Linked DNA regions of Rattus norvegicus. The main gene of each other region encodes a partner of the protein of the gene in region 2 in a complex. Links are inferred from orthologs where the notes say so. Each region holds a gene or a part of one and is shown on either strand. Other genes may lie near its edges.

The links. The genes of interacting proteins can lie anywhere in the genome.
Region 1: Gtf2f2 (region 2) and Polr2f share a complex: the UniProt entries of both Homo sapiens proteins name them as parts of the TBP-based Pol II pre-initiation complex. The link is inferred for Rattus norvegicus from reciprocal best matches to the Homo sapiens genes GTF2F2 and POLR2F.

The regions. Positions count from the first base shown.
Region 1 is NC_086025.1:112,591,729-112,595,481, reverse strand, and holds the start of Polr2f (DNA-directed RNA polymerases I, II, and III subunit RPABC2), read right to left. Parts: upstream 2,419-3,753; 5' UTR 2,374-2,418; coding exon 2,354-2,373; intron 1-2,353. Other genes in the region: C7h22orf23 (UPF0193 protein EVG1), read left to right, coding at 2,642-2,644, 2,806-2,917. UniProt on the Homo sapiens protein: DNA-dependent RNA polymerase catalyzes the transcription of DNA into RNA using the four ribonucleoside triphosphates as substrates.
Region 2 is NC_086033.1:57,628,379-57,631,117, forward strand, and holds part of Gtf2f2 (general transcription factor IIF subunit 2), read right to left. Parts: exon of another isoform or gene 1,476-2,739; coding exon 1,332-1,475; exon of another isoform or gene 1-1,331. UniProt on the Homo sapiens protein: TFIIF is a general transcription initiation factor that binds to RNA polymerase II and helps to recruit it to the initiation complex in collaboration with TFIIB.

The DNA.
Region 1 (3,753 bases), on a different chromosome or scaffold from region 2:
TCTTGTGTAAGTTTGAGTGTACACACACACAAGTGCCTGTGGAAGCCGGAAAAGGGTGAGATTCCCTGAAGCTGGAGTTGTTCTACCTGGTGCTGGGAATGAAGGTTTTGCTCCCTGGAAAATTGGCAAGTGTTGACAACCTCTAAGCCATCCCTCTCGTCAGCCTATCGTAAGAAGAGAAATAGAAATCTGATGGTGTGGTGGCACACTCCAGTATGCCTAGCACTTGGAAAGTGGAAGTAAGAGAACTAGGAGTTTGAACTCCACCTGGGCTACATAGTAAGATTCTGTCTCAAGAGCAAAGGCAAATGAAGTTTACTCCAGGACTGGAGTTACTTTTGTAACTCAAAAGTAGAGTGTATATACAGCATGCATGAAATCCCCAGCCTTCTCAGGACCAACACACTACCAGCATCACCGGCCTCTTTTAAAAACAAATAAACCGGGGCTGGGGATTTAGCTCAGTGGTAGAGCGCTTACCTAGGAAGCGCAAGGCCCTGGGTTCGGTCCCCAGCTCCGAAAAAAAGAACCAAAAAAAAAAAAAACAAAAAAAAAAAAACAAAAAAAAAAAAAAAACAAATAAACCAACAAAAAAACCAACCAACTAACCAGCCAACCAATCATTATTCTCTTTCTCCTCCTGCTACAGTCTAATTCCATATTCCCTTATGGTGGAGAAAACAAACAAAACAAACAAACGTAAGGCCAAGACAACACTGCCATTTTCATGGCCTCCAGTTACCGGGTCCACATACACCACCAGGACAACCTTTCCTGTTCTCTCCTTCTACTTGTGCAGCAAAAACACCTTTACCACTGAGCCATTCCATCAGCCTCCTGTAGCACAAAATGTATGAGGAAGCTGCCAAACCCACTGTTGCCAATTCTTCTCTTCCCTGTCATATTCTCGCCTCAGTAAGACTTTCAACACACCCTCAAGCTCCAAAGCCACCCTTTGTGTGCTCACCGATTAACCCAGCCCTCCCAAAGTGTCTCTCTGTGCTGCCTGGCTGTCCTGGAATTCACTCCATAACCAGGCTGGCCTTGAACTCAGAGATCCCTCTGCCCCTGTCTGCCCTGAGTGCTGGGACCAAACACTTGCACCACTCCCAGCTTCACTAACGATCATTACAGTGCTGAACCCTTGCCACAGACATTCATCCGACAGCCAGCACACCGGGCTCCTTCCTCCTGCTTCCCACTCTGGGGAAGGGGCTCCTTTTCTGGGTTCTCTTCCCTCAGTCACTAACTAGCCATCTCTTCTCTGGTGGCACTCTGCCCTGGTCAGCACTGCCATCTCTGCTTTCATTGCATTTTTGCCTGTGTTTTGTCTGCTTGTGTTGAAGTCAGTTTTCCTGAATACTATGTAACTCTGGCTGGCCTGAGACTCACTATTTAGCACAGATTGACATCTAGTTCATGGCAATTCTCCTGCCTTAGCCTCTCCCAAGTGCTAGGATTATACCTGTGAGCCACCACACCCAGCCTCTGAGTTCTGACTGATACATCTATACTACTGATATAGCTGGACTACCATAGTTTATCTTTTGACCTAACACATACAGCCAGCCCATCAGGGAATCCCTTAGGTTCTATCTTTAAAATATATCAGGAGCCAGGCATGGTGGCACACGCCTGTAATCCAGTGCTCAGGAGGTAAAGGCAGGCAGATCTCTGTAAGTTTGAGGACAGCCTAATCTACACACTGACTTTCAGAACAGCTAGGACTATGTAGAGAGACTCTGTCTCAAAAAAGAACAAAAATACCCATCACTTGGAAGGCAGAGGTAGATGGATCTCTAAGTTCGAACCACCTGATATATGGTTATATTTGTTCTCCAAATAAATAAAATAAAAATATGTCTATAATCCAGCTGGGTCTGGTAGCACATACCAGACATACCAACACTTGGGAAGCTGAAGCAAAAGACTGTAGCAAATTCAAAGCTAGTCTTAGCTACATCATGAATCCCCGGCCAGCCTGGGTTTCAGAGTGAGACTTTGTCTCAAACAACACTAAACTTCAAGCTCTCCAGAGTCCACTCCCACTTCTGGCCACCTTTGCTACTATCTCACCTAGTCCAAGTCCGCGTCTGCTCCCAGCCTTCCAGGCCATTCTCTGGGTTGCTCTTTCCTCCCTACTTCCACGACTACGCAAGCTACACCACTGGCATTCACTTCCAGAAAGGGAGCGCTCGGTGGGCAGGGGCTACACGGACGAAATCTCTGCCCACTGTCCCCACTGCTCCGCGAGGTAATAAGTTCTGAAGACTTCGCCCCACCGACCCACTAGCCTGTACTCCAGGAGCCCGGCTTGCACCACAACCTCCGTCCCTCCGTGGCCCGCGCTCACTTGTCTTCGTTGTCTGACATGATACCTTCTCCTTACTGGCCGGTCCGGGTCGCAGAGCAGAGAAACGCGCGCTTCAGCCCCTTGCGGCAACACGTGTGGTTTGCGCTTGCGCCGTGACCTAGGCGCAATCACTTCCGGGAGGCAGTCGATCGCGAGCGCTAATGCGCGTGCGTGGGGGCGTGTCTGCTAGTTACCATGGTAATAAGGAGTGCTTGGTGAGGACGCTCACACTCTGGCTCCCCGGAGGATTTCCGTGAGGAAGGCTCTGTCACGCCCGGGTCATCGCTGATGGTGAGCGCTCCGCCCTAGACCGTCAGGATAAGGACTGTGGTCACCGCGCTGTCCGGAGCCGAGGGGTCGAGCACCAGCTTCTCAGTCTCCTAGGTTGCTAGCGATGAGAGGTCTGTCTGCGACGCGGGAAGAGGGCTGGTCATTCCTTCTCTCCCTCCTAGAACCCTCCCATGGCTTCACAGGAGAGGGTGGACGCAGTGGCAAACGGAACCGGGTTCCACCGCTGCCGTAAGCAAGCCGCTTACACGCCGGGGACCTGTGAGCTTCTCAGAGGTTAGTGCATTAGCGGACCAAAGACTTGAGCGGTGCGGTTTTCCCTTAAGAGCTTGGGATTCAGAAGGGTTCTGGGGAGAATCAAAGGCCAGAGATGGAGAATTTTGGAATGGTTAGCTCATCTTTTACGTGCACTTTCAATGAAGCCTATCTCCTTCCCACCACAGTAGGACCTTCACAGTACCACATTCAACTCCCTTCACCGGGTTTAGCATAATATATAGTCTTACAGGTGTTTAGTGTCCCAGCTATCATCTTCTAAATGGTGAATGCCACCAGGCAAAGAACGAGCCAGCTTCCGCACACAATTGTAGCTCCAGACTCTGCTATGTGAATGAACCTGCATGCATTTAATTATTCAACGACTAAAAACCCAATATATGATTTGGATATTGTCCTAGGTATTCGGAATAGAGTGTTGAGAGGATTGCGAAAGCCAATTCTTGCTCTTATAGAGCTAATAGTACAGGAGGGTAACAAGAAAAATTAACAATAGAAAATTATAGAGCTGGGGTGTCACTCAGTGATAGAGTATATTCTAGGCAGATGTGAAGTCTGGATTTCAGTCCCAGCACACCACACGCCAAAATAAGTGTGTGTGTTACAGTTGGAGAGATGGCTCAGTGGTTAAGAGCATTTACTACTCTTTGAAAGTTCAGTCCCCAGCACCCATGTTAGCCAGTCACCAAAAAAGTGTGTGTTTGTCTTAGGCAGATATAAAGCTATGCAAGCTTACTACTTGGGAGGATCGCCTGAGCCCAAGAAAAGCGAGTCTGTATAATATAGTAAGAACCTATCCTTAATATAAGGGTTGGAGAGATGGCTCAGAGATTAAG
Region 2 (2,739 bases):
TTCATAGGACCTGGGTTCAATTCCCAGCATCCAATATTCTTTTCTGGCCTCCCCAGGCACAGACACACATGCAGGCAAAACATCCCCACACAAAGAGTGAAGTGAAGTAGCAGCAACAACAGTCTGAACTGAATCAGTTTTTGGGGACAGACCACATATGTATTATATACTCCACCCTGGCCTTGATTTTGGGATCTTTTTATTGGAGCCCCTGAGTACCTATCTACTCCAGATAGACATTTTAATAAACCCCTTCCTTCAATGTGAAGCAAATAAGCCCAATACCCTGTGTTAAGAACAAGGACTGAGGAACTTGCTTCCCTACCATTACTAGAATGCCCCCCTCTCTACTCTGCCTACTTCCCTGTCTAACTGTGTGTACATTTCATTCTGTAGGAATACATCATCTGCGCTCATTGTCTGGGAAAGTCTTTCCTGTAGGCATATTTACATACAAAATAACAAAAGGTAGACTTCATTATAACCAGAAGAAATACAGCTTGTTAACAAAGTATTCTTTAAAAATATTTTAATCTAGCATGGATGCTGTTTCTCAGGCTGTACTGCCAAAGGGAATTAAGTCATTAGCTGAATCGCGAATACTGAATCATGGGCATTTTAGCAAAAATTAAAAAGACTGCAAATTGCTTAACAGATCTCAGATTGATGTTAAGATAGTGAGTGCAAGGAGTCAAATCTGAGTCCTCTAGAAGAGCAACTAGTCTCTCTCTTTTTTTTTTTTTTTTGGTCTTTTTTTCGGAGCTGGGGACCGAACCCAGGGCCTTGTGCTTCCTAGGCAAGCGCTCTACCACTGAGCTAACTCCCCAGCCCCGCAACTAGTCTCTTAACCACTGAACCACCTCTCCAGGCTCTAACATTATCATGTGTGCAAACATGCTCGCACACATAAGTGCCTGGCTGTGTGTGTAGCAGTCAGAAGACAATTTCCAGGAGTGGGTTTACTGCTTCCACAGAAAGCTCTGGGCATCATCAGCATTTGAACCGAGTGCCTTTACAAATTGAGCCATTTTAATAGCTCTTACATGTATTTTAAATCTAAAGTAATGAAGTGGATGTTCGAAAGATAAAGCTATGTTAAGATCTGTTTTCTGGGGCTTGGGGATTTAGCTCAGTGGTAGAGCGCTTGCCTAGCAAGCACAAGGCCCTGGGTTCGGTCCCCAGCTCTGGGGGAAAAAAAAAATCTGTTTTCTGATTGTTGACATAAACTCTGTCATTAGCAGAGTGAATGTGAACCTGATCACGTTTCTCCTCACTAGTGATATGCTAATAAAGTCTGGTATACTTAAAGATCACTAGAAATGTATACATACCACAGGTTGCTTTGTGATGTCCACCAAGTCCTTAAGATTATAGTACTGATGTTTCTCAAAGGCTGAGAACAGCATGTCTAGGACGTGTTGTTTGTCTGCCCGAGCTCGCTTTCCATCTTCTTTCTTCTTCCTTTCATATTCAATCTGTAGGCAAAAACAAAAGAAAGGTATCAACTCAGCATCTGGAAAGAAATCATTTGGAAATAGTCTGAGTCACCTGAAACCTCACTTAAAGTCTCACACCATCAGGCCTCTGGCAGGGACTCCCATTACCTTTCAGGTTCAGGACAGTTGTAACAGAGGTCTGTAAACCACTTTCAGTCTCTTGTGAAGCTTTATGTAACACATTCATTTCTCCCCAAGGAGGGTTTCTTCCTGGTTAGCCCAGAAGCTAACATGCAGTTCCTTAGTTTTTGATTAATCAAGGTACAGTGAGATATGTTTATGAATTAAACTGCATGCTCTAGGAGTTTAGGGCACAAGCTTGTTCCAGCGCAGGTTCAACTGGGAAGTCTGGGGAGCACTAGTGAAGAGCAGAGGAGCAAAGTCAGCCTCCTCCTCTCTCAGCCCATGCTTTACCACTGTACATAGAAGTAGGTTCCGCAACAAGAAAGGTAGATACACTCAGCGCTGATGCCAGTAAATTATTTTTTCTACATTTTCATTTTATCTCACATCAGGTGTCCTCGAAGTTTCCATGTATAATATTCTCTAATTTTTACCATAAAAGTACTTCTTATTCAAATAAAATCAAGACATCATCTTCACACACATCAGAATGGGAAGCAACTCTCAGCTCTCACAAGCGAAGCTTCTTTTTGAGGCAGATGGAGAACATTACAAAAAGCTACAAATGGCCAAAACTGGAGAACAACTGGCCTTGGGATGCCTATCACCAACAGATATATTCACAACACAACCCAGGAACATGGCAGAGGAGGGAGTGGAAAGACCATGAAAAGCCACAGGATCAGGACATCTGACGTGAGACAGTATCTTCTGTATGTGACAGAGAAGCTGCACTCATTAACTGCAGCACTATATAGAGTTGCCTAACCAAAACCTGAATGACAGCCTACATGCAGCTCGAATGGGGAATCTCCAAGTCCTGCCTCTACATGAAGGGTCACAGCAACTGAGGACCGTGGAGACACAGAGTCACATCCTCCTCAGGGATGAGCCCCTAACCGGTTGGTTATCCAATACAAGTGGTCAGTGTTCTATATAAGAGCAACACTAGACGAACCCAGTAGCTGGGATGTATGTACACACACACACACACACACACACACACACACACATTCGTTTGGTGCCAACCTGACCTTAAACCCAAGTTATCTGAACTTAAGTTGAGAAGGATGGGGCCATCCCTGGGCTGGTGGTCCTGGGTTCCATGACTTCTCCATCA